Linked DNA regions of Arabidopsis thaliana. The protein of the gene in region 2 interacts with the protein of the main gene of each other region in a pairwise test. Each region holds a gene or a part of one and is shown on either strand. Other genes may lie near its edges. The genes, in order: AT5G50915, BBX29, COL2 and COL4.

Evidence for each region.
Region 1: the proteins of BBX29 (region 2) and AT5G50915 interact in a two-hybrid assay, tested with the Arabidopsis thaliana proteins (one large-scale study listed by BioGRID).
Region 3: the proteins of BBX29 (region 2) and COL2 interact in a two-hybrid assay, tested with the Arabidopsis thaliana proteins (one large-scale study listed by BioGRID).
Region 4: the proteins of BBX29 (region 2) and COL4 interact in a two-hybrid assay, tested with the Arabidopsis thaliana proteins (one large-scale study listed by BioGRID).

Annotation. Positions count from the first base shown.
Region 1 is NC_003076.8:20,708,682-20,714,798, forward strand, and holds AT5G50915 (basic helix-loop-helix (bHLH) DNA-binding superfamily protein), read right to left. Parts: upstream 3,784-6,117; 5' UTR 3,572-3,783; coding exon 3,242-3,571; intron 3,147-3,241; coding exon 3,021-3,146; intron 2,912-3,020; coding exon 2,846-2,911; intron 2,737-2,845; coding exon 2,668-2,736; intron 2,577-2,667; coding exon 2,493-2,576; intron 2,387-2,492; coding exon 2,276-2,386; coding exon of another isoform or gene 2,255-2,275; exon of another isoform or gene 2,158-2,254; coding exon 2,083-2,157; 3' UTR 2,044-2,082; exon of another isoform or gene 1,910-2,043; 3' UTR 1,422-1,909; downstream 1-1,421. Other genes in the region: AT5G50910 (uncharacterized protein), read right to left, coding at 380-601.
Region 2 is NC_003076.8:22,113,187-22,118,204, forward strand, and holds BBX29 (B-box type zinc finger family protein), read right to left. Parts: upstream 2,354-5,018; 5' UTR 2,130-2,353; coding exon 1,635-2,129; intron 1,551-1,634; coding exon 1,398-1,550; 3' UTR 1,118-1,397; downstream 1-1,117. Other genes in the region: AT5G54480 (hypothetical protein (DUF630 and DUF632)), read left to right, coding at 4,818-5,018.
Region 3 is NC_003074.8:485,988-492,106, forward strand, and holds COL2 (CONSTANS-like 2), read right to left. Parts: upstream 3,481-6,119; 5' UTR 3,288-3,480; coding exon of another isoform or gene 3,186-3,287; 5' UTR 3,102-3,185; coding exon of another isoform or gene 3,067-3,101; 5' UTR 2,969-3,066; coding exon of another isoform or gene 2,851-2,968; 5' UTR 2,638-2,850; coding exon 1,954-2,637; intron 1,853-1,953; exon of another isoform or gene 1,811-1,852; coding exon 1,451-1,810; 3' UTR 1,082-1,450; downstream 1-1,081. Other genes in the region: AT3G02390 (uncharacterized protein), read left to right, coding at 2,851-2,968, 3,067-3,101, 3,186-3,287; AT3G02400 (SMAD/FHA domain-containing protein), read left to right, coding at 3,843-5,600. UniProt on the Arabidopsis thaliana protein: Putative transcription factor. Does not affect flowering time.
Region 4 is NC_003076.8:8,587,396-8,592,338, reverse strand, and holds COL4 (zinc finger CONSTANS-like protein), read right to left. Parts: upstream 2,883-4,943; coding exon 2,139-2,882; intron 1,735-2,138; coding exon 1,390-1,734; downstream 1-1,389. Other genes in the region: AT5G24940 (Protein phosphatase 2C family protein), read left to right, coding at 1-59, 137-211, 309-932.

The DNA.
Region 1 (6,117 bases), 1.4 Mb from region 2:
TTTTCATCGTCCTATAGAGTTTACTTGTTCACTTACCATTCACTACTTTGAGAGGGATAGAAGAATGGCAATTTCAACAGCCATCTTGGCTAGCTACTATCTTTATAGTTTTTGTAATGGAAGAATGATTCATGTACACGTGGAAATGAAGTTAGGTACATGAAAACAAACAAAGAAAAAGAGTGTAATAGAAGAGATGGGACTAGACATAGACATGAAAATCTCTGGACGACTAACGGCCGGACTGCTCATTTAATCATGCCTTCGAATTGTTGCTTTTTTTTTTTTTTTGGCTGTATTAGTTGTGTAATAATGTACAACATTTTTTCTCACCTAGGCGTGTTATCAAATTGAATCGTGGACCCTTCGGTTAACTTACCAATCGTTCTCGCATAAAACGTGTCATCAGATATTTAGGGTTTGATTTTGATAGGTTTGATGATGCGAAGAATCGAAACGCACAGTTAAAGTTATAAGAGGTATACTTTGAAATAAACATATGAGGTGAAATGATGTGCATAAGATTTACGAAATGTGTTGTCCATTGATTCAGGATGAAACCGTTAGCAGATACAATTATGTGCCACGAGAAACTTAGCATTTCCTTTGTTATTGTATTTTATGATTGATCAATTTGCCGTATAATAACTTGGGACCAAATTCATATGCATTTTCGATTAAAAAAAAAAAAAAAAATCGTATTCATGACGAAACAATTGCAAGAAAATGATGACCCAATTCATCTAGCAACATATCATATTTATAATAATAAAAAAGGGAAAAAGTGAAAATTTTGAACCATAGTCCAATAACAAATCTTAGAAGAGATGATATCAATTAAATTTTACTTATTTAACTAAAATCTCAAATTGTTGAATTGTGAAGAGTAATCTCACAAATCATATACATCCTGACATATACATCAAGAAATGAAAATCATACAAAAAAATCTCTATTCTAGGTTCGTTAATAAAAGAGGTTATTAATATGTATGTAACTGAATAACGATAATATACATAAGGCTCTTGCATATAATTTATTTAGGTGTATTCAAATAAATCCTGCAATTTAGGATTGAATAACTCAAGGAATCGTTAATTACCACCTCATGAAAATGTTAGACAACCAACAAATCATATTTACAAATACAACAGTATCAAATATCTCTTTCAAGAATTTTGGTATATATATATTAGACATACTCTAAACTAAAATAAAACTTATAACATATGTATTGTGAAAGGACAGATACAGAGGAATGGGAGTTATCAATGTGTGACAAGTGAGAGCAGAAAAGCATGACCAAACTATTCAACAGGTACATTAAAGTGTTCTCAGGAAGGGAAATCTAATCTTTTCTTCTGACATAATTTTGTAGCCAACTAAATTGACAGGAAACGAATCATTTAGATTTATATACATGCATAAGTAGTTATCCCTCGAACATTTTTATATATATAGGAAATATAACATGAGTGTGTGGATAACAGTTTACATTTAAAAAGATTGGAGGAAAAAGGAAACTTTGGTGCAAGAAATCAGAAAGACAGAAGTGGTGAAAATACAAGAACTTATAAAATTAATGAGTGGATACATCAAAATTCAATTATATTAAAAAAAACAATGATTAAGCTGATAGGTCTTCTTAGTTTATATGTCTTTCTTTCCTCCATCGAATTTGCCTCTGCCTCATATACCATTCTCTTTTAGTATGAATTTATCCATTGATTTTATGTAATGATTATGTTGAAACTCTCGGGACAAATAGAGAAAATGAGCTTTTTAAGTCTCTAAAATACTTTATTTCTTCAAACTATATAAACGGAACAAATAAGTACATCCACTTTTACAAAACCTGGTTTACGTAGATTTTATTCCCTCCGTGCAAATGGGAGGAGATTAAATCAACCTACATCCAATAAACGATAGCAATAATTACGAACCCACATCAAGATTTTTAACAATTTCTATATGAGAAATGTTAAAAATAATTGTAATGATAATAATTAGGTAGTTGAAGAGACAAGACCAGAAGAAACTCACGAAAGCAGGCTTTTGTGTTTGTGTCGACATGTAATTTTATCAAGGGAAAGAACAGAAGTTGTTGTTGTTGAACCCACTTCTGTCTACAAAGTTCTCTCTTTCTTCTCCCTCTTCCTAAATTAAGCAACACATCACTATCTATTAATCTTCCAATAATTGATTCTTATCTATCTTCATTCTCCTTATTATAATTATTATCTGAAATAATCACTTATAGAAAAAAATGAAAAACCTGAACTTGTGCATGTGTGGGAACTACAGAATTATCCAATAGTGAAGGAAAGATAGGAGTAGTTGTTGGCATTGCATTGGTAAAAGACGTTCCTACTTCTGGAGAACCCATCTGTCCATCAAGAAAATATCTACTTAAGATCCATAACCGGCTTTTCGGGATACATGACTTGGTTTTATCGGTAACCGGATTAAGAGACATTGTGTAAATGAAATACCTCAGATTGAAGTATGAGGCCATCAAGGTCGGAGCCAAAGTCATAGACCACCGGACTTATAGAAGTTAGCTTCATTGAGAGAAACTAATGAAACAGAAAAAAAAGTTATGAATTAGAAACATTAGTTTTAACATAAAATGTTACAAGAAAAAACAAAATAATTAAGAAAATGCACCTCAACTTGAGTCTGCAAGGTCTGGACATAATTTATAATCTCATCCAACATGAGGGCCTTCCCTGTTACCTATTCGTTTTCAAGTCACATTTAATCAATTAATAACATTTTCTAGAAACATTATAAAATTAAACCATTATCAATTCTCCTAAATAAAATTGTCTCTACTCTAGCTGACCTTATCACAGCCCGGAACAAGGTTTTGCAGAGTCCTCATCCGCTCACTTATCTTTTCCCTTCTCACCTTTACATATATATATATATAAGTTTAATCAAATATTAATCAAAATGTATTTTATGAAAACATGATTAATGAAGAAAAATTAAAATGTTAAGAGAAATGACTAAAATACCCTCTCAGCAAGGCTGTGGCTATCAGTAGCTTGGCCTCTTCTAGCTCGAACGTGAATGTAATCTGTTGGAGGCTCTTCTTTGCTTCCTCTCTTCTGTTTTTTGCTTTTTCTTCCCTCTACTCCTTCCTAATTCACCAAACCACACCAACATTTATGTTTTTGACTATCCCAACCCCATCACATAAATGATAGATGATACATTACAAGTTGGTTTAACATACCTTGGAGTTATTACTGTTTCTGGCCTTCCTCCCACGGGTTTTTCCGGTGTTGGTGATGGCTGATGGTCCGTGGCTGAGCTGGTCGCAGGAAGAAGAACCGGTGGTTGCTGTTTTGGTTGTGTTGGCCAGTTTCTCTGAACCAGAGTTTTCAGTTTTGTCAACATTATATTCAAGAAAGGAAATGTCTTCAACTGTGGAAATGTTTGGTAGTGGATAGAGATGGTTTTGATCGATGAAACTAGTGAGATTAATGGAGGAGTGAGGTGTAGGGAAGAGAAGAGGATCAAGAAGGGAATGAGGGTAGTTTTGGAAATAAGAGAAAGTTGCCATTTTAAGAGTAGAAGCTTCTGAGTTCTCTTATCTTTGTCGATAGAGATAGTGTTTTTTCTTTGTGAGAGAAGATTAAGGACTTGAAGTGGTTTATATAAGGAATTGCTTTTGTATTCACTATTCAAAGAAACAAGGAGAAACAGAAGAAAGAGTATTTTAGGGACCACTTGTATATTGAAGATACCTTTTTATTTGAGAAGAAATTACTACCATATTTCGGCGGGTAATTTATGTTAGATGATATGTTTATATATAATATCGAGATTGTATATTTAAGTAATTGCATTGAGTAACCATGGAAGAGTAAAAATGAAAATTTAAGTAAATAATGTTGAATTTCAAAAATTAGGTGACTAATGATCTTTCATCATTCTTAGATACGTATGTTCTCTTTTTTTTTTTTTTTCAAATGCAAACTCATGGAATATTTGTCTATTTATTTTGTTTAGTTTTATTACTCTATGGGTATCATGATATTTTAGAAAATTTGTTTCAAATTACTTTATGTAAGAACTTATAATTTTAAATTTTGTTGTAATTTGTATTCTCCATAGTTTTATGTTATTTAGAGAATAAATTATGTTTTGAAATATAAGATTATAAATACTACATAATTTGTAATACAACCATGTTGTAAAACTAAACAAGACAAATACTGATCAATATATCATTTAATTAAGACTTTTTTTATAAGAATATAATAGCGCATAACGTGAAAACAATAAATGTACTATAAAAAGAAGTAATCAACTAAACCCATTAAATGAACGAAAGAACGACCAACGTGGGCAGTCGAACTCGAGGAAAATGTTCTCTAAAACCAATTGATGTATTTGTATTGACCATCAACTACACTCACGTAAGCATTCAATATTGTCGCCCTAACAACGAACTATATTTAGAAATGCCCTAAAGCTATGGCTTGTTTTACTTTATAAGAGGGTCGGACCTATAATACACATATCAAAAAAGTTAATGTACACCAAAAGAGCAATATTTATCATTTATCAATCAATTTTACTTTATCAGATTGCAGAACCTTTGCCACAGCTAATATATAGATCAATATATAGGCACAGTTTAACGAGTCAGATATAATTAAAGACTAGATAGTAGAGAGATATATTACCCTATCCAAAATACTGTACATTTAGAACTAAATATGTAATGCCGCGTGATCTTCTCAATAATAATCTCTATGTGGATACCATAATACTACAAACTTTTGTCCATTTTTGTTAGAGAAAATAAAAACTTTTGTCCATTTCCCACTTTGGATCGACATAGGAAATTTCCTTTTCAGAAAAGGACAAAAGAAAAAAAATTGTGAATAAGGTGTGAAGTCCAATCCCATGATACCGTTGGGTATGCATAGAAGACAAAAAATCATAAATCTCCATTTTGTTTTGATATAATCGGGTACTCTTATAGTAATAATCGAAAAAACGAGTACTTGACCATCAAAATTTATCACAATCCATGTCCTTAATTATTTAGACTATTATAATTCCTTTCTTCTATTTATAAATTATTATTATGACACGTACTTAACAAAAACATTAAGCGAATCTACGATTAATTAATTATCAATTGTATACGTACGAATACGATCTATGGACTTTCTATTATGATTTTCTTTTTGAGATCAAGTTTAGAGCAGAAAGAAAACATGCTAATTAGGAACCAAGAAAACATTATGATTGTTCTTTTGGACATAATTTACATGTCAAAGGTCCGCATGAGCTTGTAATTAATTATCATAACCCGAAGATGATAGAGATTATGCACGTTTCATCCGGATGAGGAATAAACATTTATTGGCATCATATTTTCTTCACCAATATCTCTCTTTTGCTTCTTTTCAAATCAGGGTACTTGCACAAAACCTTTATTCTTTATCTAACGCATTTAATTAGCGGCTGATCTATTATTTGTACTGTGTTTTGAATATTCAAGATCACATTTAAAGAAAAGAATAAGTGCACGAGACTAATTACGAAAGGATGATATGAAAATGAATCTTGAATTACGAGATAGATTAGGTACATTACTTCACTCTAAGAAATTGACTCAAAGTTTTCTTCTACCATCCTATATCCCAAAACATTACTTACAAATGCAAAGAAACAACTTCCATTTTACGGCGTTTTCTGGCCGATAAGTCTAGTGAATTATGTGACGATTGTAAGATATATGAAGTAAGTTAGGTTGATCTCATAACTGTTATAGATCTCTATTAATCACTTCGTTTATTTAGCTTAATCTCATTATATTTGTTATTCAAATATGTTGCATCTCTATATGTTTTCTTCTCTATTATCAAAACAGTTTTATGTCCTTCTACCATATTATTTCCATTTTGTTTAGTGAAGTATTGATTTTCTCTACTAAGAAGAATACAAATAAATCAACCTGGCAATAGACTAATTAACGTACGGTTACGTCTACGAAATAGATATTCATAGAAGTCTCTATCCGCATGATACGAGAGATAACCTTTTACTCACATATCATCGCCTACAATGCAATAAAATAGTAACAAAGAG
Region 2 (5,018 bases):
ACATGATAAGAAGATCACGTGTTGCACCAAAACAATAGGTCATCGACCACCAACCTCGGCCACCTGATACTCCAATTCTGATGAAAGAAAATCGTCATCGCGAAACAATATCCGGCCAACGATTCTTTTGTTTTTCATCATTTATGTAAATATGGCTAAAAAGACATATAAAACAGATCGAACAAACTCAATCGGTTGCTAAATGATTTGGGATTTAACGAACAAAGTCCAACACTTTGATAATGAAGTGTTTATATGCATTAAACATGAATGTTAAACTCTAATAATGAAATAAAGAGACTCGTGGATTAATGCTTGGGGTTGACTTTTTGTATTTCTGACTTCGAAAGGAAGTTTAACTCAAAGGTGATGTCATCGTATCCGCAAGTATTTATCCAAGTGTAAACCTTAAATTAAAATTATGATCTCTAATTATTATATTCATATTTTAGTATTTTGAAGACGGCTTAAATGATCGGTCTTTGCAAAGAGATGCAATGAGAACCACATGTTTTCACTACTTTCATTCAATTTAAATAAATAAAATATCTGGTAGACATTCGCCGTCCAATTCTCTAACTACCATGAATTGAATTACTGTATACTGTATTTATCATATACGATCAAGAAACCAAAAACTTGGATCTTCTCATTTCTCACAAAACAAATAGATTCAAAATTAGAAATAAAACCAATTTATTTAGTTACATATAAATCATGAGAGCATCATTTTTTATTTTTTTGGAGCTTCGAACACGGTTTAGATACAAAAGACACGATGGGTTCAAAGCGTTTGACAAATAAATTTTTTTTAAAAAAACTTTAAAGGAGGACCCCATGGTACTAAATATCTTCTTTTTTCTAAGTCTTGACAACTTTTTTGTTTGATTCTTTTTAGTGGTCGTAGTTACAATTTACAAAGCTAACGGACATTCATACGTTATGTACTCTTCAGTTGTAACATCACAATGACACAGACACTTCTAGTTCTGGGAAGGCAAATAAAATTGACATCATAATAAATTTTGGTTTTGGCTGGTAATCCTTCTCACGTTATAAATTTATAATAATATCTCTTGTTTCACTAATTAATTTTCTTAATCATTTTCGTTAAAAAATAAATAAATAGAAAACAGCTTCATTTTCTTAATCATTTTCTGAACAACTTTGCTTCATTTTATTTTTTATGTTATATGATTTTATACTAGACATATGAACATATATATTCTAGGTAACACAGAAAAAAAAACACAAAAAAAAATCATTATATTGAAATGTTTTTAAACTAACTCAACTCACTAAAAGTATTGTTGTTAGTAAATGAACGATGAGGATTAATCTAATCAACCAAACAAAAGAATCATCAACGGCTACAATCTCTACTTTCCTTGGCGATTTCAATAAAACGAAGACGACGATGATGTATCACATCCCTCTGCTTTTCTCCTCCCTCCGTGTAATTTCACGATTGAGCTATTCATCACAACAGTTGATCTTGACAAACCTTCGTCTCTCGATAATCTTTTCAATGGTCTAGATTGGTTCTCCTCCTGCATTTCAAAAAGAATTGTTTCAGATTTCTTAATCATTTCCTAATAATAAAAGAAGATAAAGAAAAAGATTCATATTCATACATCGGAGAGGTTAAGATCCAAATCAAGTCTCGTCCTTTTCACCACCTGATCTCCTTCACCACTACTAACCGAAGACGACGAACTCACCACCGGAAGTTCTTGCTCCACCGCAGCCGGAACAACCTGATTCTCCACTTCTTCTTCTTCTTCATCCTCATCGCTTTCCTCATCATAAGACTCAGCTCCGTCGTTACAACCAATGATCTCTTCTTCTTGGTTAAGATTCTGATCCCTCCCGGCGAGGGAGCTGTTGTTATTCTTCTTACGAGCTAAACAAGACTCACAGATAGAAACAGTTGGGCCAAGATTCAGCCCAGAAGCTTTCCAAGGCGTGTGTGACTGACACGCGCTACATAGAAGACAACGCATGTGTTTCGCCACCAGAAAATTAGCTCCGTGAACTTTACCGTCACAATCCCAACATAAACTCGCTTGATCTGACTCACAATACATTCTCGCTACACCACAACATAACTCGCACTTCTTCTTCCCCATCTCTAGATATTATCTCGCACAACCACAACCACAAGCTCTCTCTCTATGTCTATCTCTGTCTCTAGATGTTTGTGTGTTATAAATATTCTTGGTAAGGTCTTTTGCTTCTCTCTCTTCTCTCGTTTCTTCTGCGGACACGAATAAGAGACAGCGTAATAGAGAATTGTAAAATGAGAATTTCGTGGCGACTTTTATGTGATTTAATTCTTTTCGAGGATATTGTCGTCTTTTTGATATTAACGAAACGATTTTTCACGTAATTTTTTAATGAAATGCAAAGAAGCTTCCTAATTTTAAATTAGAATAAGATTAAAGGATTCGTTCAAACTTTAATTTTTATGGTGGATAATTTGTGGATAATTTTGTATTAGTAGTTCTAAATCTGTGTTTGAAATTGATTAAGGTTTCCGCGGCTGAGTATTATTCTCGAATTCTTAAATTTAGGAGAGATGATAATAATAATAAAAATTAAAGGAAATGTTGTTATTTACTTGGTCCTGAAACCATGTACTGGGACAAGGCTCTCCTATGGGCGAAGTCTTACGTGTCGAGATATTATTCGTTTTATGTTTCATCAGATATTTTTATGCGGTTAGATTTTTAGTTAATGACGTGGCGAGATATTAGCCTCGTATAGAGGAGAGGGAAGATTCTGAGTTATCCTACGTGGACGAATCAGGTTCTGTAATAGACTTAGAACCACGTGATCCGCACCTGGGATTTGTCTGGTCCTCAATACACGTCTAATGGGTCCACTCTTTTTTCTTTCATTTTTTACTTTTTTCAGTATTCCTCTCTCGTTCCGGTCCAAGCGTTTTGTTTTCGAAAATGAAAAGTGAATTAAATATCATTTATATCGTTGGTATTACGGTAGGATAATAATGATGATCGGATTTTTAATATCGCATTTTGGGTTCGGAAATTTTGGTGTCCATGAATCAACATGGTTACTAGGAGAAGAACCTAATTTTATGATTTTATCAACCACTTTTAGCGTTCCATATTTTACATAATTCGAGTTAAATGTCTTTTTCTCTAAATAAAAATAAATAAATAAATCCAACCACTAATTTTACATTTTTACTTCACATCATTGGCAATTCGATATATTACTTGTTATTTGCTAATGGTAATTAAAAAGAATATAGAATATATATTTGAAAAATTATTAAACCTGGATTAAAAAAATGAAAGGTATTACGAATTTTTATCTAAAAAACAGGATAGATAGATAGCTAAGAAGCTTGTAGTTAGACAAATATTTTTTGTCATTTCAAATGTTTACAGTTGTGAGTTTTTAAAAGAAAATCACAACGATTTTTGTATGATAGAGTTTGATCTGTGGTTTTGATCCATAGAACAAACTAATTCATCTATGATCAAAGATGAATTAATTTGATTATTTGTATTCATTTGATCAAAGGAATTAATTTGTATCACGAAATCGAGATTAAGACTAGCAAAGATGGATTGAAAGTCATTTTAGGATAACAAATAATACGTAAAATATATATAAGAACAAAAAAAATGGTAAAGTTGGGCCTACGTAACATGCTTGAGAAATTTTTACGTGGCGAAGATTAGTGGTGTAAAGGGTGAAGTGTGAATTGTGAAGAATCAAAGGAACACGAGATGTCTTCATTTGAGAGCCACATGCATTAAAAAAGCGCTGATGAGTGGAGGTGTTTTGAGTTTTATGGTTTTTTGTTTTTTTACTTTTAAATGTTTGTGGATGACAACTTTAGAACAACTTAGAAGAAGCCTCGAATCAATACACATCTATCTTACGAATTACTCCTTATTTTTTGTTAGTTCTTTTCCATTTATGTTTTCTTTTGCAAGTTTCTTTAAAGATTTATTAAAAAGAGAAGTGGATTACAAATTTACAATAGAAATTGTTAAATTTGTTCAGTATGGGTGATCAACCCAATTATAATAATTTTAAATTTTTTTGTTGATAAAAATACATATTATTTACATTTTCAACATAAATTCTATCAAATTATATGATTTATATATATGTACACTAAGATTTTATTCATTCGGACCATTCCACGTTTGATTCTTTTTATCAGGGATACCGATGACTCTATGAGAGGTGCATCATTTTATTTGTCAAACTGGTCAACCAAATTCCATAATGAAAATTCAAGATCTCGATACTACAAGATACAAGTATCAAAACATCAACTTTGTACTGTAAGAAAATAACTTCATATATATTTGTTTTTTGGTAAGGAATTGCGAAAATATATTTGTAGTGTCAATGAAATTTAATTTACACACTCCATCATTAGCTGATCTTAATATCAATTATATAACGTGCCCCCATACATTAATTACATGTAACTTATTGTTTTTAATCTTCTTATTTACTGTGAGATTTTTTCCATTTAGCTACAAATTTCCTTTTCATCTAATTCCTTTTCTTAAAATTATATACTAACCTTAACCAAAAAAAAGGAAATCAAACACGGTTTAACTTCAGCGTCGCTCTACAAAATAAATCGAATTTGTTTCTAATTAGGGTTCATCATCAAGTCGTACTTCTGCCAAACAAGGTTTTTACTTTTTAGTGATGTCGTCAAAAGGTACAACAACTCAATCAATCCACGAAATATCAATTGTTAAAGCGAGGAAATCAAATTAGGGTTTAACCGATTTCGAGAGATCATTCAAGAGGGTTTAATGGGTATCGTTGCTTCCAAGGGAGATAGTAATACTCCATTGTTGAATCTATGTAAGGAGAGGAAGGAATTGATCAAAGCAGCTAGAGATGCTCGTTATCACTTAGCGAGATCTCATCTTCTTTACTTTAAATCTCTTTTAGATTTCAGCAAAGCTCTTAAACAGTTTCTTCATAAGGATTTGGTTGTGATTCCGTATTCC
Region 3 (6,119 bases), on a different chromosome or scaffold from region 2:
CCATAGTAAGAGGAATCTATGGCGCTCTAGTGGAGTGTGGCTTGCTTGAGCTCTATGCAACTGATGAAAAGAGTTTTTGCTTTTTAAAAAGTCTGGAAGACGCTTTTACCATCCCTTCTCAACTTTATGGCTGGGACTCTTTTTAAGTTGATCAGGAAAAGTGCAGTAACCTTTTTGGAAAGGGTCGTCACTTTGATACATTTCACGTGAGGTCTCGATCCCATTACTATATAGTATATACTGTATTAACTCTCAACTAGGTCTTATATTAGTTTTTATTACTTCTTATATGTCTGACGGTTTCTATGATTCCACTTAGACTATCACTCACTTTTATATAAATCTTATGATGTTATAGGAAAATTGTATACGATGCAGAATTTCGTAATTTGTCCCACTATTGCTACATTTCATTTCAAGTTACAAATTTAGGTTGTGATGTAAGCTCTTTATTTTGGTTAAGTAATCACTGTTTTCAGATCTCTCATAACTTAGGAAATAAATACAGTACTTTTGCTACACATATAGGTTGTGATGTATAATTGAGAAGAAAAAAAAAATAGGTTGTGATGTATAATAATGTTGAGCTCTGTGAACATTTCCAGATGGGAAACAGTAAGGCTTGGTTAAATGTCGTGCTTTCTTTTTCGTTGCTCTATCATCCTTTACTGTCAGCACATACCATAAAAAGTGAGAAAGTATAGTCCTTTATTCCAAAAGGTAAAGAGAAAGAATTATCCTTCTTTACTTGAATTTGGCATAGGCATCAACATCCTATGCTAGTTGCTGGTGTATATTAGGGTTCTCAGTATCTTCACTATCTTACTCCCACTTGGCTGAATACGTTAACTTATGATTCCCGTTAACCGAAAATGACAATTAATGCTGATTTGCATGTTGGTTTTTGGAGTTTCTTAAGTTTGTGTGGACAAAGTTGTTCTATGTTATCAGTTTAATTGTTTAAATTACAAATCATGTTATTCTGAATAATCCTTCCTCAGGGAATGAGTTGGCATATGTGGAATTGACCTGCGATTTACGTGTTCTTGTGATCTGGAAAGTATCAAGAAACAGAAGATTCTACAGCCAGAAAATAATCGAAAGGTATTTACTTTGAACCTACTAGGCGTTGTCTTTCTTGTGAAGTGACAACTTGAAATCCGCTTTTAGTTTTCTACTTACAGCTACTCATAGTGATGCATATCTCTTTCATGTGGCACCAATTCAATTAGATATGATAGGCACTGTTCCATATGATAAGATTTCACCAATTCAATTATGTAGCGAGATGTTGCTTAAACAACTGCAGCTATAGGAACATATCTGATTAAACTCGTACTAGTTTGACAAAAGTCACAAAACTAAGGACCCATATGCAGTAATAACTTGTAGAAATCCAAACTAGAAGTAATTTACAGCATGCAATCTAGTCTATCTTCGCCATAGGAGTTTAGAAGGAAGGGACAATTCCATATCCAGTCTCAGACATTAGCGATGTTGAGAAGATTTCTTCAGCCTCAGCTTCAGTTTCTATCCTCTTTGCGAATCTGCCCTTGATCCGTGGTCTTATCTCTGCATATGCCTTTCTTGAAGCATATCTTATTGTCTTGTCAAATTTCCTTGTCTTCTTCTTCTCTCTGTATCTCAGGACCCTAGCCTCCCTCTCCATTGGAGTAAGCTGTTGCACCACCTGAGTAGGAGGACCAGATAGTTGGTCTATCGTCTCTTTAGTAGTTCTTGGGTGTTGGACTGTTATGTCACTTGCAGTTGACTCTGGCACAACACTGATGTCCATTGATGAAACGGATGCCTAATGACAGAGACAAAGACAGTTTCAATCTTCCGAGGTTATAGGAGCAAAGAATCAATGTATAGCGAAGCATACTTGTGATGACACAGCATGCATACTGATTATTGTGAACTAAAGAGCTGGCAAGTGTATAAAAAGCTTACGCTATGGTTTAGGTCCTTTAAGGAGTTGTTGTTGTAGTGAGCTCCTGAGGAGAATCCATAGTTGATACCCAACTGAAAGTTTTGTTGGCTTTGTTGCAGGTGACTTGTTGATTCTTCAACTTGAAGCGGCACAACTCCATCTCCTCCAAAGCTCCTCTGGTAGTGAGTGTACTGATTATCTTCGAATTGGTTGTCCATGCTGGAGCTGTAATCCACAAGATCAAGGTACTCAACACCAAACAAGAACCCATTATTCTGATTACCGATGTTTTTCCCTGGATTAGGGAGTAACCACGAAGCAACCTCTCGATCATCCTCATCGTTATCAGCATCAGTCTCACTTGGGGCCATGGAGCTGCAAGAGTTTGCAGATAATGGAAGAATCGGAACTCGCTGATGACGTCTAGCTAGTGGGTTTGCGGAATGAATCTCTGCATCACAAGCTGTACAAAGAGACGCAGCGTCTGCTTTACACAAAAACGCAGCTGGGGCAGACTCACATGACTGACAGACACGAACACGTTCATGGCGAGAAGCAACACGGTTGGCTGCGTGAACTCGAGCATCACAGGTGGTGCACAAGTAGGCAGAGTCGGCTTCACAGTAGACAGTGCAGGCGGCTGAACGACAAGTGTCACATGCTCGTGCCCAAGTACCACTCTCATTACTCTCTTCTTTCAACATTTTTATAACTAAAGAAGAAGGTATGTGTTTTTTAAGCAATGATTGTTGGCAAAAGGAGAGATTGTAATTAGAAAGGAGGGAAGGCTAATGAGACTATATCTAGGTGGTGAGAGGGGAAAGATAGAATCTTTGGAGATATACACGTGGCGCAGAGTTAGTGGTTGTTAAAAGTAGTTGGATCATCTTGTGGCTGTCTGAGTTTTGAACAAGGTCATGAATCATCAAAAAAGTTTTTTTCTCATAACCTTCACAAAGGAGAACAAATCTAGACCAAGTAAATCTTCTGTAAGTGAAAACATCTCTTCCTATTGTAGCTTTCTCTGTAGGACCCGTGAGCTGACGTGGATAAGATTCTCAGAGATTGCTATTTACTTTTACTGTTTTGGTTTTTTTTTGAATCTTTTGGTATTTTAGTTTTTTGCTTTTAAGCAAAGATGGAAACTTTTCTTATTGGAACATACATGGTAAGTAATCAGGTAGTGACCAAAGATTATACAAAGTAATACATAAAAGTGAAACTCATTTTGGTTTTAAATGTTGTTTTGCAGGTGGATGAGAAGAAAAAGCTGACATGGCAAAGTGGTGAATCTAGAGTGACCAATGAGAATGTGACAAATAAGCCTTTAGTGAAGAGATTAGGATGCTCATGAGCCACAAGTTATAATGTTATATATTAGCTTATATCAACATCACTTCCAGTTACCAAGAAATAAATCTTTTTTTTTTTGTGAATTGTGGAGTAATGTTGATAAGTTGAGTTTTTCAGTTGTTCACTGAAACAATATTGCCAAAATTGTAATTTAATTTTTTGGGAAATTATTAGATCATGAAATGAATATTTACTCCCTTTGTTTTGGTTTTTTACTTATATCAACAAATATTATATATATAATATATCTAAATCAACTATAACTCATTTCTTGTTTCAATTTGATAGTCAATCATGCATAAATCATCATTTTACAACAACAACAACAACAACAAAAAAAAAACTTGGATGGGCTGTACTCTGTAGTAACAAGAAGATATTTTGGTAACTTATGGACTGGACTGTATATTCATAGTTTGTACAATGCAAAAGCCCATTGGGCTTGAAAGGGTTTCTTTGTTTCAGGACTGTTCCGTTCGATTTTGAGTTTGACATAAATCCGAAATTTCAAAATTCCATTATTTTGAATCAAAGCAAAGCTTCCCCGAGACGCACGATGGTTCCGCCATTGCTGAAGCTCGACTTCACCCAGGGTCCAAGAGCTGGCGATTCTCTAGGGTTTAAACCCGGATCCACTATCCGAATTGGTCGAATCGTCCGTGGTAATGAAATCGCCATCAAAGACGCCGGAATCTCCACCAAGCACCTCCGGATCGTTTCCGATTCCGAGAACTGGATAATCCACGATCTTGGTTCTTCCAACGGCACCATATTGAACTCTGACACTATCGACTCAGATACGCCCGTCAATCTTAGCCATGGAGACGAAATTAAGCTTGGTGAGTACACTTCCATTTTGGTGAACTTTGGGAGTGATGTTGTTCAGGCGCCGCAGGAGCATAAGCTTCCGCCCAGGCCAAGGAGGAACAACAAGCGGCTTGCTGCTTCGGATCCGGATCCGGATCCTATTGAGTCGGTTCAGGAGAAACCAAAGCGCACGCGTGGATCGTCGAAGCAAGAGGAAAATGAACTGCCCAAGAGTACTAGGGCTTCGAGGAAAAAGAATCTGGACGATATCGCCGATAAAGAAGAGGAATTGGATGTGGAAATTGAGAAGGTGGTCAAAGCTAGGGTTGGGAGGCCTCGGAAGAACGCAGGCAGTGCAATTGCGAAGGAAGAAGAAGTTGTGGAGGAGAAAAAAAGGGTTGGGAGGCCCCGGAAGAACGCAAGTAGTGCAATTACGGAGGAAGAAGAAGTTGTGGAGGAGAAAAAAGGCAACTCTAGGGCTCGGAGAGGTAAGAACAGTGAGATTGTCCAGAAATCAATCAAATTGGAAGTTGAGGATACTCCCAAGGCAGTGGAAATCTCAGAGGTGAAAAGCAGGAAGAGAGTGACAAGGAGCAAGCAGATAGAAAATGAATGTTTTGGATTGGAGGTTAAAGATGAGAAGAGAACTACAAGGTCTACCAGAAGCAAGACGACTGAAATTGGTGGAGAGTCTTTTCTGGAGTTGGAGATGGTCCTGAACCAAGCCCGGAAAAGCCGTGCAAAGAGGAAGAAAATGGATGAGGAGCCATCCAAGGAGACTAGAAATGATGATGCCGGAGAAGAGGTTTTGAAGAACTGTCATGTTGAAGAAGATAAGGAAAATGAAGCTCAGGAAGGTTGCAGTGGAAGAAGTGATGACATATGTGATCAAGAAGATGAGAAGGAATGCGATGGATCTAAGAGGGTAGAGCAGGTGGAGATTGAGTTAAGGAAGAAAAGCACAGTAGAAGGCCTGAAATGCACTGATAAAGAAGATGGAGAAACAGAGAACTCACAAGATATTGAAAGAGAAAGAGAAAATGAAAATGAAAAAGAAGCTCAAGAAGGTTGCAGTGAAAGAAGTGATAAAGAATATGAGAGGGTTGGTGGTGGGGCTAAGAGGGTAGAGCAGGTGGAGATTGAGTTAAGGAAGAAAAGCACCGTAGGAGAAGATGACCTGAACTGTACTGTTAGAGAAGATGGAGAGACAGAAAACTTACAAGAAATTGAAGAAGAGTGTCACGACGAGGAAAGTGACTGCAAGGTCGAGGAGGCTGGATTTGCGACATTAGATGAGGAAAAGGTTGGGCAGGGATGGAACAATAAGAAAGTAGAGAGGGTAGAAGTATATTTAGAAAAAATGAAACTAAGAGAATGGTTTGATGCCATAGAGGTTCAACTGCCAAAACAGACAATTGAAGAAACAGAGAAGATGATTGAGCCCATGAGAAGTAAGAGTATGAGAGTTCACAAGCATATTGCAGAGCAAAAGGAAAAGGGCGACTAAGTACTAAGTTGATTTGATCCCATTTTGCTAGCTTCATGATATGTTCTAACTTATACCTGGGAATACTTTGATCTCATTGTTAAGTTGCTACCGGCTTAGTGTGATTTCTTCAGGTATGGTAGTAATCTTGTTAGAAAAAATTGAATGACAAAAGCTTCCTAGAAAGCATCTGTATCTATTACTCGCTTTGTGCACAATGTAGATCATGGTTTTGTGTTTATGACTTTGTTGGAACCACTAGTTTTTTGGAGTTTCTCTATTATTATGTCACTGCAACTACCAATATATCTTCAGTTTTACGCTTTTGGATCAGTGATCGATGAAATTCATTCATTTTGTGGGGCAACTCATGTGGCTTGCTTAAGCTCTATGCATATCAACATGTGAGAGTTGCTACAAATCGAAATATATACAAATTGATGAAGAAGATGAAAACACAGAACAGCAAACAACAAACAACAAACAACAATAACAAATAAATTGACAATCAAGAAGCTACAAGAACCGTATCGAAGCTTT
Region 4 (4,943 bases), about 14 Mb from region 2:
CCCGCGCGTTTGGTGATCGATTGCTTAAACAATATGTTGTTGCTGATCCAGAAATTCAGGTTTGTATCTTCATTTGCTTTGTAAACCACACACAACATCTACTTGTGTTCACTTAAGGTCATGTCTTCAACTTCAGGAAGAGAAGATTGATGATTCTCTTGAGTTTCTGATTCTTGCCAGCGATGGACTATGGGATGTTTTCTCCAATGAGGTTTGTAAAATTAAGTTCTTCTTCGAAAAACTACTTTCATGTTCCGATAAGTATCACATCAAACTCAATGATTGAGATCTCTCTGATGGTCTTTCAGGAAGCAGTTGCAGTAGTAAAAGAAGTTGAAGATCCGGAAGAGTCCACCAAGAAACTTGTGGGAGAAGCAATTAAAAGAGGAAGTGCAGACAATATTACATGTGTAGTTGTACGTTTCTTGGAGAGCAAGTCAGCTAACAACAACGGTTCCAGCTCATCCGAGGAAGCAAATCAAGTGCCAACCGCTGTTAGAAATGACTCAGACCACAAGATCTCAGCCAAAGAAACCAATCAAGACCATACCACAGTAAACAAGGACTTGGACCGCAACACTGACAGTCAAAGCCTGAACCAAAAGCCGATTGCAGCTAGAAGTGCCGATAACTCGAACCAAAAACCAATCGCGACTACAGCAACAGGACACAGCGTTTCTTCAGAACAGAGTGGTTTAACCGGGGAAAAGAGTCAAATGCCAATCAAAATTCGCAGCGACTCAGAGCCTAAGAGTTCAGCCAAGGTACCTAATCAAACGCAAAGCACAGTACACAACGACTTGGACAGTAGCACTGCGAAGAAGCCGGCCGCAACAGAACAGAGCGGATCAACGGGTGAAAGGAATCGAAAACCAATCAAAGTTCATAGTGATTCCGCCGCAAGAAAGACAACTCCCTCTATCTTTAACTAAAACGTCCACTACCTTCTTTTGATAAATGAATGTATCATCTTCATTTAACTTTGAACTATTTAGTGTCCAAAGATTTTGCCTCGAAACTGATTTATCTCGTTCATGTAAGTTTCTTCTCTTTGTCACCCTTTTTTCTGAGGTCTTTAACTTCAACAATGTAATTTCTTTTTGCAGTGTACCAAATTTTGTAAACTTGTTGATTCTAAATAGTTTGAGTACATAACATAAACAAGAACATATTCAAAATCACGATATATACAAAACAAGTTACTTATAAACAGTTAAACACCACCCACTCACTTCTCTTCCTCTTCATCGCCCACAACAACTAAAAATACTCATCAACAAAAAACAAACAAACTCGTTTAAATTAAACGTTCGTTAAAAACCTTATTACTAAAACAAACACCAAACCACCCACCATCTTCCATTTTAGAGTCTCTCCCTCTCTCAATATCTAAAATGTAGGTACAAGTCCGAACCCACTAAAGATACCACCATGACCAACCACATCATTGCTCTCATTTGTATCCGTCCGCTTCGCAAACCGTCCCTTGATTCTCGGTCTCATTTCCGCATACGCTTTCCTTGAAGCATACCTTATAGTCTTCTCAAACTTCCTGTTCTTCCTCTTCTCTCTGTACCTCATTACCCTCGCTTCTCTCTCAGCTGAAGTCAGCGGAACAGCCCGCTGTGTCCCCGGATCAGCTCCACTGGTTGCAGGACCACCGTAAGGATACGATACATCAGCCACCGAACCACCATCTGGCACCACTCCCACTTCCATCGACGATGATGACACCTAAATTACACCAACCATTGGATCAAGCCATTATAATAAGTACAATCAAACTGACAAATACTATAGGTTATAACTTATAAGTGAATATGATTAGATCTACACTAGATTAAACAAAACAAATGAAAAAGAAGACACCAAAATTCTTTGATTAATACATAATTAGATACTTAAATTAAGGATTATCATAATATTTCTTCTAATTACAGATTAATTTACACATGTTGCTCGCATAACCCTAAATTTTAGTCAGCCAATCATTACTTCCCAATAAATTAATAATTTTAAGTATCATCAAAAGTCTAAACCCTAAAGATCTAAACTTTTTCGTTAAAAATTGATAAATAATTGTTAATCAAACATAATCAATTAAATTAATCACTGTGATTAAAGAACATTAAGCTTACGCTGTGACTGATGCAATTGTAACCACCACCATAAGTAAAGCCTTTAGATCCTCCGGTAAAATCCATTTCAAAGCAATTCTCGTTCACCGTCGGAATCCTAACCGTCCGATTCTCCACCGGAACAACACCATCAGTACCGGAGCTATTCTGCTCTAACGATTCCACCTTCGGATCAACATTTCCATAATCCAGATCCAGATACGGATCCGGATCCGAGAACAAATACTGTTGACCAGTGTTCATCTCCGGACTATCTCCCGGAACTTCCTCAGCTGAAGTAACAGCAACGATCCCCGCCGTCGCCGTCGTTGTAGTCTTTGGATTGGGAAGTAACAGCCACGAAGCAGCTTCTTCCTCCTCTTCTTCACGGCTTCCGTTACCATCTATATCGGAGAAGTAACAGTCGTCAAGGAAATTAACGGCGGTGTGTTTAACGGAACCGTCACTAGAGACGGAATCGTAAAACGGAGTAACGGGAACGCGTTCGTGACGGCGAGCTAACGGATTAGCCGAGTGGATATCACGGTCGCACGTGACGCATAACGCGGCCGCGTCTGCTTTGCACGTGACGTGTGCCGGTGCTTGCTCGCACACTTCACACATCCACACGCGCGCGTGTCGTGACGCGAGTTTGTTCGCCGCGTGGACTTTTGAATCGCAGCTTAAGCATAGAAACGCTGCGTCTGGTCGGCAGTATAACGCCGCCGTCGCTGATTTGCACGAATCGCAGAGCTTTGACGCCATTTTTCTCTCTCTAAACCTCTTCTTTTTCTTCTCTCTATGTTTCAGTGTCTCTCTCTCTCTCTTTCTTTTGTGGTTGGTGTTACTATTGGCTTCACATGAGCGTGTCAATGAGTCTATCCATGTGGGGTCCATGGGTATCCATCTAGATCGAATGAAAAGTTGACACGTGGTAAAATCTTAGCCAAACAACGTAATTTTATTTCTGATGAAATTACTTGGCATTATAGTTCTGTGTGTTCTTTATTTCTTTATATAATTGTAATCGTATGATGATGATACTTGTAATCATAATTCTGGATCGTCGACATTTGGCAACAGGTGTTTTATTTTAGCAAATGATGCGTAGCAAATTTGTCTACGAACTTTTTTATATGATTTATAGGTTATGAATGGAGGCAGCGGACAAAGCGGTCTAATTTGTCTGCGGTTTACTCCATCTCATTTTTGGGGCGGACTATAAATCGCTGTAAACCAAGTTTATTTGTATGTAAAAACGGTCTGCAGATGGTCCGCAGCGGTTTTCTTCTATTTTTTTTGGTCCGGACCACTGCGGACTATTTTTGATGAATGATAAAACAAAAAACGATCTGATCCATTGACGGTTTTGTTCGCCCCAACCGTCGTAACCATTCAAATCCATAAGCTGACACAGAGAGTGGTTCTATTGCAAAATAAAATGAAAAAAGTGGTGAAGAAGTATGGGTAGATGAGTTTTAGGACCACCACCATGAGGAGCAAACTTAAATGGAAACGATACTGTGACTAGCGAGGATAAAGTAAATGGCCGGTGGGTAGGTCGGTCACTAGTGGGCTGAATATGGGCCTTATGTGGACCATTGGTTTCTAGTTATTACTGATATATTCTGCATGTATGTGTTTTGTTGTTCACTAAAATGCTTATTTCAGCCCAATAACTTTATTTCTCAATTTGCTAAAAGTCACAACACAAACTCACTGGTTTCACATAAACTTATTTCTTTTTTTATCAACAAAGAAATCAACGCCCTCTAGATAGTCATCAAAAATACCTCTTCAAAATTTCATGGTTAACTGCACCGTAACTATTCCACACATAACTCCAGGATAAGACCTTATAAATTTTTACTATCCTTATTACAATATAAATAAAGACTTATTTCAAAATTAGTAACTCGCATATTATATCTATTGATCAGATTTTGACATGTATAAAATATATATATATGTAAAACCAATATATGCTTCTTTTTTTACTAATAATTTGTTGTAATTTTAGTATTTTAGATTATTTATTTATTTTTTTTTTATTTATTTTGAATTATCTAAGATTCATTTATCATGCTTCTCATTTCTCTATTATTCTGATTTAATTGTGTCAAATCAATTTTTTTGGAAATTTTATTAGTTAAGCATAAATCAGAACTAGACAGAACACAACAGGCAATAAAAGAATTGAGAGTACAAGATGAAGATTTTGAAAATCGCGGTGGACTGATTTCTGCAAAAAGAAAAAAGAAAAAAAGAGTATTTATGAGAAAGTGAAGAGAATCGTCATTTATTTTAGGCTTTGATAATGAAATAAAATGAAAAATTTCACTTTCTTATGAAAACTCTTTTTCTTTTCTCCATAAATCAAACTTCTACCACGATTTTAAACATTACATCTTGTACTCTTGGTTTTCTCAAAATAAATTTTATGTTGTGTTGTGTCTGACCAACTAATAAAATTTAAAACTTCAAAAGTAAATTTGATTTGACATTATTAAATTAAAAAAAAATAGAAATATATAAGCATGATAATAATTGAAACTTAAATAATTAAAATGAAAATAAAAATTAGGAGTGATTATCAAAACTCTTAATTAGAAAAAGAAAAAAAAACAATATTGAAAGTGTCAGAATCATACATCATGAAAAATGTGTAACCGTATTGATTTGTGAAAGTTTGATTCAAATGAGCGTTGCATTAATTATGAGTTATGATGTAGGCAGAGTCGCATCGCCGCGTCAGGTAGTTGCAGCAAATAGAGCAAATTCATACAACTGTTCCAAAGTCAAACATATTGAAACTCTTTGAAGCCA